Tribolium castaneum: one gene and its partner. The protein of the gene in region 1 interacts with the protein of each later gene in a pairwise test. Links are inferred from orthologs where the notes say so. Each region holds a gene or a part of one and is shown in the gene's direction. Other genes may lie near its edges. The genes, in order: Efhc1.2 and Edc3.

Evidence for each region.
Region 2: the proteins of Efhc1.2 (region 1) and Edc3 interact in binary tests that used the Homo sapiens proteins (3 or more experiments, as listed by UniProt). The link is inferred for Tribolium castaneum from reciprocal best matches to the Homo sapiens genes EFHC2 and EDC3.

Annotation. Positions count from the first base shown.
Region 1 is NC_087398.1:5,344,097-5,348,373, forward strand, and holds Efhc1.2 (EF-hand domain-containing family member C2), read left to right. Parts: upstream 1-1,441; 5' UTR 1,442-1,492; coding exon 1,493-1,582; intron 1,583-1,631; coding exon 1,632-1,808; intron 1,809-1,856; coding exon 1,857-2,007; intron 2,008-2,053; coding exon 2,054-3,094; intron 3,095-3,145; coding exon 3,146-3,342; intron 3,343-3,388; coding exon 3,389-3,513; intron 3,514-3,557; coding exon 3,558-3,854; intron 3,855-3,902; coding exon 3,903-4,005; intron 4,006-4,054; coding exon 4,055-4,201; 3' UTR 4,202-4,227; downstream 4,228-4,277. Other genes in the region: Esyt2 (extended synaptotagmin-like protein 2a), read right to left, coding at 1-3, 49-382, 425-501, 548-688, 739-780, 875-1,072, 1,120-1,209. UniProt on the Homo sapiens protein: Microtubule inner protein (MIP) part of the dynein-decorated doublet microtubules (DMTs) in cilia axoneme, which is required for motile cilia beating.
Region 2 is NC_087396.1:13,257,670-13,262,087, reverse strand, and holds the start of Edc3 (enhancer of mRNA-decapping protein 3), read left to right. Parts: upstream 1-1,433; 5' UTR 1,434-1,665; coding exon 1,666-1,817; intron 1,818-1,863; coding exon 1,864-2,328; intron 2,329-2,372; coding exon 2,373-2,672; intron 2,673-4,418. Other genes in the region: mRNA export factor Gle1, read left to right, coding at 1-605. UniProt on the Homo sapiens protein: Binds single-stranded RNA. Involved in the process of mRNA degradation and in the positive regulation of mRNA decapping. May play a role in spermiogenesis and oogenesis.

The DNA of each region.
Region 1 (4,277 bases):
GCCCTAAAACCCCCTAACTTACATTTCCACGACCAAAACTAGACTCACTTCCGGTTCCGGGGCTTTTAGTTCCATGGCATCCACGTCGTCGCTCAACTTGATCGGGAATTTATTGGGGAGGACCATCATTGAGGCCACGGTCTCCACCACGATGCGCCGCAAGATGTCGCTCAAGCCGGGCATGTCGAGCAAGTCGGCGATGCCGATAAGGTCGAAGTCTATATCGGGGTTGTTGAGGAAGAAGACTTGGAGGCCACCCACCAGCGGTATTGTGGTGATCAGGGGCTTCATCACAACGCGGAGCATGCCGTGGAGCTGGAAATCGCGGATTCCGCCCTTGATCCCGGCCAAGTAGAACGTAATGTCGCAATCGCCGGCATAACTATGAGAAAATATAAAGTTGAACTGTGGTCTTAGAACTTACAAAATGTCCAAATCCATGATAATTTCGTTCCTGGCTACATTTTTATCGTATACTTTAACACCCCCGATTCGGAACGGCTGAAAAAACCATTGAATCACGAGAAACAAGTGGCAATCAATTTACCACGGTGCCTAGGATAATGCGTTCAAATTTGAAACCGGACAGTTTATACGTTTCTAGGCTTTCTTTCAAAATTGGTTGGATGGTGTCCCTGATTAAGTCGCGTGTGTAGTGGTTAATGTTAGGCCAAACCTGTTTAATAATCTGGAAATTTGGGATTAGGCGAAGGTTCTACTTGTGGGAGTTTTACTCACTCTGTTGAGCCACTCGGCTCTTTCAACGTCAGGGAAAAACACCTAAAAATAGATTCTGTGGTCAACACTGTTGCAAACAGTTCCCTTATCTCAGTAATAATTTAACAATAAATGAGTCAGAAGTGACCTCACATACCCAGGCTGGAAGATCATCAAGTCTCGCCAAAACAACGTCTTTTTCGCTCGCTAAAGCTGCCGCTTTTGCTATGTTGCGTTTCCTGTCGCTGGCTTTTTTCCATTGGTCTCTGATCACGAAAAGGACAATGGGGCCAATGAACCACGCGACCGACCATTGCATGTAACCCGCAAAGTACACAATGCCGACAATGGAGGCCTAGAATTAGGTCAGTTTGTGTGAGGTCTTCGCCCCTCGAAAATTACCTTTTTGACTGCGCTGAAAATAACGCTCAAGATGCTGGAGCCCTCGGAGCGTTTCTCCATGGCTTGACTCCCGTCTTTACTCACACTCATCTCTAAAACTCAATATTTTTAAAAGTGGAGACAAAAATAGCATACTTGCTTCCAAGGAAATGGAGAGCTACTAAAGGGTTATCTTTGAAGCATTTCAATTTGTTGTGAGATTACAACCGCCCCGCCTCGTGTTGTTCAATATGACATCACAAACTATATTTACAACATTACAAAATCGGTAAAAGTTGCTCGCACTCACCTTGGCCCAGCTGATTGTATAACTGGTTGTCTACCACGAAACGTCAGTTAAGCCCAGGACCGGCTTTGATTTATTTACGTCTCTATGACAACCAGTTTCCGTCAAATTCACGACACGATGGCTTTGCGGTGCCCCGATTTGCCCTTTTTGCCGGGCTATACCTTCAACCCAATGGTAAAAACCCCATACCCGTACCATGATTACCTCCGAACTCACATTTCAGCTGGGAAAAACCAAATTTAATATGGACCCCAAATTCGATTTTATCGGTGATGGGGTCCCAGCATTGGTCGAGAAAGTCAGACCGAATATGTTCGGGCCACTTTCCGATAAATACCCCTCTTTGTACCCCAGGGGCGAAGTTCTGGAACTCCCCTCCTGGATCGCGTTTGACAAACAAGTAAATCGGTGCGTCGGATGTTGACGCTTGCTAATTTCCGTTCTGTAGATCTTGTGCTTCGACGCGTTTTTTAAGGAGACGTTGCAGGAGGTACGTGGTGCCCCCTTTTCACTGCGACGGGTCAAAATTTATTTTTTCCTCGAAGATGGGACGATTCAGGTGATTGAGCCCAAAGTTGAAAATAGCGGGATTGCGCAAGGTTGCTTATAAGTTGTAAAATTTGAGAGGAAAATGTTTATTGTTAGGGACTCTAATTTGTCGGCACCGAATCCGGTTTCCGGCCCCCATGGATGATAATTTTTACGAAGTTGTTGATTTAAATGTTGGCAAAGAGGTCGAATTCTATGGCCGGGTTTTTAAAATCACCGATTGTGATAAATTCACTCGGAATTTTCTTAATCGGTGTGGGATTCACGTCCCGGATTCATTAAACATTCCCGGGGATCCTTTCTTGGAGTTGCGTAATCAAGAAAATGCCAGGATTAAAAAACGAGGGAAAAAGAAAGACGATTCCCTTGGGAAGTTTCTGGAAAATGACCGGAAAGTGTTACGTTTTTATGGCTATTGGGACGATCAGGAGACAGTCTTTGGGTATTTGCACCGTCTGGAAATTTTATATTACCTAGCAGACGATACGATTGAAATCCGGGAAGTTTCGACCGAGGATTGTAACAAGAAAACCACTTTTATTTTTTTGCATAGAGACAAAATTCCTAAAACTTACAAAGAACTGCCAATGCCGGGCGCCAACTGCGCTAGCACCGTTTTAAATGTTTTAGGGCCGGGGTTGCAAGGGGGGCGCTTTATCAAAGACCCCTTGTCGTGTGGGGTCGAGGTCACGGAGTACTACTGCGAAAAGGATCTGTTTATTGGAAGTGTGATTAATTGTTACGGGAGGAAGTTGGTACTCACTGACTGTGACCCCTATACCCGGGAGTACTACAGAAGTATGTACGGTTTGAACAGTTTAGACGCCATAGCTTTCCCTGAGGACAAGCACGCGGGGGTTAAAGTCGAGCAAAAGGAGCGCGAGTTGCCCCCTTGGAACGGCTACGGTTCTTATGAGGACTCGGCCCAGAATTGTATCACAGTGGAGCCCAAGGCGCCCCATCGAGACTTCAAAAAATTCCTCAACTTGGATCGAATCGGGATCGACAGTCACATTTTACGATTCGAGGCCCGAATGTTGTCGAAAATACCCGAGAACTGTACTCGGCATTTTGTCATAAGTTACTACTTGGCTGACGACACGATTGCTGTGTTTGAGCGCGGGATTAGAAATTCGGGTATGGGCGTGGCGTGAAGATAACGGGGCGCGGCTTACTCACGTATTGTAGGTTTTGATACGAAGGAGTTCTTCGCGCGGAGGTCCGTCGCTCTACCCAATCAAGGGGTCTATACAAGTAAACCGCCAATCACGTACAAGTCCCAAGACATGTATGTGGGGGCTACTTTGATTATTAACAGTTTTAAATTCGTACTGATAGACGCAGACGAGTATGCGCTCAGATATATGGAAATTCACGATCATCAGGTGATGCGTTGGTTTAGGTTTAGTCGGTTGTAAATGTGGCTTTTAGTACCCGAAAGCGAACATTAAAGTTATAATGGGGAAAATTCGCGAAAAGCTGAGACCGACTTACAAGGATTTTGTTGCGGAAAATATGCCGAAAGAGAGTACAACCATTCCTTATGATACTCTCAAGTAAATAAAATTTTGTTTGGTAGAAAATAAGTGGAGGGTTTTAGGGCAAAATTATTGGGGATTTTGGGCGACGATTTCACCGAACATGAAATGATCACAATCGCTCGGGCTTTTCCCGGCGATGTCGACTTAACCGAAAAGTATGATCGTGAAAAAATAAGGGCAATCACTCTGACGGAATTAAAGCGGGGGCTTTGGGACGATTTGGCCCGATTGAGGGAATATTTCTTGATGAGAGACCCCCACAAATCCGGGGTTTTACCCAGAAATGAGTGCTACATTGTATTACGGGCCTGCAGACTGCCTTTGGAGAAAGAACTCGTCGACAAAATTTTGCAAGTGTGAGTATATCTCGCGCAATTTCTTCGGTATTTGATGGTTTTTAACAGAATACAGAAAGATAACGAAGGTAATCTCTGCTACGAGGATATTTTGAATTTCGTCAATCGGGATATTTGTAAATTACCAGACGTTGAACCCATTAGTTTGAAAGTGAGGTTTCGATAAAAAATTGTTTTTTGTATATTTACGAATTTTGCAGCATGAGTTGAGTTGCATCAAAGTGATCGAGTACGAAAAGTATAAGTTGATCAACTGGTGCGAATTCAACAAATTTTTGGACTTGGAAGACACTTTCAAGGAGCAACCAGTGAATAACACGATTGAGCGACTCCAAAAAAATAAATAAATAAAACACTGCCCTTGTGAAACTTTTGTCGTGTGTTTTTGTTGTTGTGTAAAAGTTTACATATCGGTGTGTTTGT
Region 2 (4,418 bases), on another chromosome or scaffold:
TGATTTCTAGCAATCCAGAAGCCGCCTTTTGCTATGCAACGATAATAGTTTCCCTGTGGAACGATTTTCCCGACTTTGGGAAACTCCTTCTGGGCTATTTTTACACAGAGTGCCCCTATTTGGTACCATTTTACATCCCAAAAACAGAGGAACAAACAACCGAAGAGTACTACCAAGTCCTGGGTTACCACTACATTGACGGGCAGATCGAAAAACAGGACAAATTTCTCAAACGAATGACTGGAATCTTGCGACTGTATTTTGCCATTTTCATTGCCAAGCCAAAGCGGGGACAGACAAAAAACCCCTACGACATTACAAACGCGTGGATTTTTTTGGCCTCAATCCTAAAATTAAAACCACAGCTGGACATCACAGCAACCGTTTTGCACGTTTTCCTCGAAACTGTTGGTTTTGAGATGGAACTGGTCTACGGAATGGCCTTCAAGAAATTGGTTGTGATTATCATGGAGAAGTTCATGCCGACGTTGAAGAAAATTGATTCGGGGGGGCCCGTGACGAGGCTAGAGGTGCTGCTGCAAGACTATAAAAGCAAGGGGCACTTTGAAACGCCCAATGGGATTTTACCCAACAATTTCTGGTAATTTATTGTGTATATACAAGGAGAAATAAACTTTTATTAATTTACTGGTCCTGGTTTTTAATTAGTAACCTCCGATCGGGCTCGTTTTCTAACCCTAACTCTACTCTGTATACGACCCAGTTGTTGTCATGTTTACTGGCCCAGAAATATACTCGCCCTTTCTGCTTGGGCCCCCTTATGGGGACTTCGTAATGGGCGGAATTCTCGCTCGTGAAGTTCGTTTCCGTGTCGTCTAGGTCGATTTTTCCGTCTTTGATTGGCTCGCCGAGGAGGTGCACTGCCCCTCGGTTGGTTCGCACAGTCCTTAAGGCTTCTTTGTAATAAACGGTGCCTTTAATGTTTTGCTCAATCTTATTTCGGTATAATAAGCCCATCGTGACCGTCGCTATGCCCCCCACAGCCCCGATTTTCACCAAAGTCATGATATTACTCATTTCTGGAAAAACGGTTAAGGTTATGGTCGTTTCAGTGGTTGATTTTTCTACCTGATTACGACGAAAATTAACTGGGGCTTTCAGATTTGTAATTAGTACGGGCTTGAAGCACCGGGAGACCGGGGTTAGGAACGAGTCCGGCCCTGCATTCTCATTTTGTAGAAGCATAAAAAGTGTCGAAATTTTGCAACTTCTTTCGAGTTTATTTTGCCAATTTTTGCGCTACTTAAGGCCTATTTTGCGGTTTAAAATTTTATAAAATATTTCGGTTGTACGGTATTTCTAACTAACGGACGTTGGAAAGAGATAGTTGATGCGACTCAGCGTTGGGCAGAGAGAGACGGCGCGAATTTATTTTTAGAAAAGGTGAAACGTGCGAGAGAGAAAGCTGTATCGAAAAGTGTGTCGCAAGAGATGGTTGTTGGGTGCTGTTAATTTGTTGTGGGTTCATTGTTGTAAATATTTCTTCTTGTTTTGTGCTAATTATTGGTTCTACATCACGTATTTAATAATTTGTTGGGAAGTTGAGGTCGACTGATAAATCTGCTGCGCAGTGTTACCTAACCTCATTTTATAAATTATACAAATTATCTGCTCTCGGTTGTGCTATTGATATTTGTAAAGAAAATGGCACAGTGGGTAGGATACATGGTCTCAATTAAGTGCGCCGATGATACCGCTTATCAAGGTGAAATTAGCGCAGCTACGACTTCTCAGATTGCTCTAACTAAGGCTTTCTGCAACGGCATTCCCTGTCCTTCGAACGAAGTGACCATTAGGTAACCCAGTCTCTCCAACACCTCGAATTTGAGCATCGCATTTTAGGGCAAACGAAATCGAAGAGTTGAAATTAATTGACAAGCACTTAAGCTCACCTCCACAGAGAAGCACAATAACCATCGCCAAGCCAATCGCGAAGCGCGCTGGACGAACGCAGAGCACCTCAGATGTCGCCAATGCAGCATCCAAACATACAAATTTAAACGGATCTCACAGCAAATCAAAACCCATTGATATCGAACCCAAAACCACGAACTATAGTTTTAACGAATCCAGTTCATTCAAAAACGGAACCCCAGTCAGGCGAGAAAAGTCAAAAGGCAAGTGGTCCAAAGGCTGGAAGGACGAGGAGTGTTTCGGCTCGCCTTTGGACCACAAAATCAACAAAGACTTCGATTTTGAGAAAAATTTGGCGCTTTTTGATAAACAAGCCATCTGGGACGAGATTAACAACTCCCAGAAACCGGACGTTATTAAGAATGCCGACAGCAAGAAGCCGGCGAAATACAGGTTTGGCGAAAAATAGCGTGGCACAGTCACAGGGTTTGTTCCAGGCATGATGAAAATGTTATTGCAAGCACTCCAGCATCGTATAGGCAGATAATAGTGCCTAAGCAAGACTTTTGCGAGTATGTGACGGATGATGGGCTGATTATACCGAGCATTTCGAGGTCTTTGCGAAAGAAACTGTGGGAAGTGGCTGATAGAGTGGGGCTCACGTGGGATAAGAGGGTGGAGCTGTTTGGGAGGGCAGCTGCCGAAATTTCGGTACAGTTATTGGGGGGCGGGCATAGGTTGAATCCTCACAACTCGCACCAGTTTCCCACTGTTGTAGTGCTGTGTGGGCCGCACAAGTAAGTTTGTTTAATTTTCCGAGCTCATTTGAAGGCAGTGAGCTTGGTAAAAATCATAATTCTCCACGTTTAAATAAGAAGCGGTATTAGAAACATTAAAACAAGGGCAACAGACTTTTTTTTTGGTAATATTTTAAGCCTTTTTTTAATATCTGAATCCTAGACGTTTCCGATAGCAACGTGTTTTCACTATTTTAAAACACGCTCCCCATAGCAACGTGTTTTTCATTAAAATGTTCCAACAAAAAAAAAGTTGAATAATATTTATGCGAAAATGCTTAAAGTTCTCGAGTGTCCAGGTATGTCACTCGTATACGCTCGTTGTATGACAGTCCTCGGACTTTAAGCTTGTGTTTTCGTACTCATATTGTTAATAACTATATTGCACAAAACACTGATAACAATAAAAATTCTCTACTTTCGTTTAGAATTCTTTAAGATTATTCTGATTCTTTCCTAAAGCTGTTCTGCATCTGAAATCTCTGGATTCTTGTTTAGATATTTTTATCATTTTTTAAAGCTAGTCAGCGTGTACTCTTAAATTTTCCGGCATACAATTGAGTCGTTTACCAATAAAAAAATTATTTTTTTTTAAGAATATTTTAAGTAGCATGATTTAAATCTGAATTCGTACAATACTTGTTAGGTTAGTTGTAAATAGACCATTCAACCTTATAACTGTTTATTGACTAATATCCCGGAGCATTGAGGGTGCGTCCAGGCCCCTTCTGCGACATAACCTAACTAACTCACTCTGCCAAAAAACCCCCCTCCAACTCCCGTGTCGCCCACGTGAGAGTTGCCAACCTAACATCCCCCCTTTTAAATACAAAACTAAGCTAAATATGAAACTAACTACCTGAGGTATCAAAATATACATATTTCAATAACAATAATAATCTTGGTATCTTTTGGGTCTTCTGATTGGTCTTTTCTTTGGTTCCTCTGATTCGTCTGGTTGTTCTGGGTCATGTTCGGGTTCATTATTTCTGTCTGGTAAGGGCTGAAGATGTCTTCGATTTCGTCTGACGCAACCGCCGTCAGTCTCGATCAAATATGACCTTGGTTCTTCACATCTGCGTTGTACTTCTCCCTCCTTTTGCATATTTATGATCCATACGCGATCACCTTCTTTTAGATTTTTCTCTTCTTTTGTTACTCGGTGTCGTTTGTCGTAGTTGGACTTCTGTTCTGCTTGATTGTTGATTAACGTTTGTCTGACAGTGTCATGGTCGATAGTTGCAGGTTTTAACCCTGAAGGTAACCTTGGCAGTCTGTCTCGAAGGTTTCTGCCAAAGAGCAGTTGGGCAGGTGACAATCCACATTTAGTAGGTGTATTGCGGTAGGTAAGAAGTGCAAGATATGGATCTTCATTTTTCCTCAATATCGTTTTGAGCAGCTTCACAGCACTTTCGGCTTGTCCATTTGACTGTTGGTAATGGGGACTACTGGTAATTAACTTAAATCCATATTTTCTGCTGAAAGTTCTGTATTCGTGACAATCAAATTGTTTGCCATTGTCGGAGCGGACAACTTCGGGTATACCATGTCTAGCAAACATTTCTTTGAAGGTCTCGATAACAACTTTGGCTTTGGTGGTGCGAAGTTTTCTGATTTCAGGATACTTGGAATAATAGTCCTGTACCACTAAGTAAGTTGACTCATGATATTCTGCGAGGTCGGCACCAATTGTTTGCCACGGTCTAGATGGAACTTCGGATGGTAACATGGGATCTACCGTTGGTC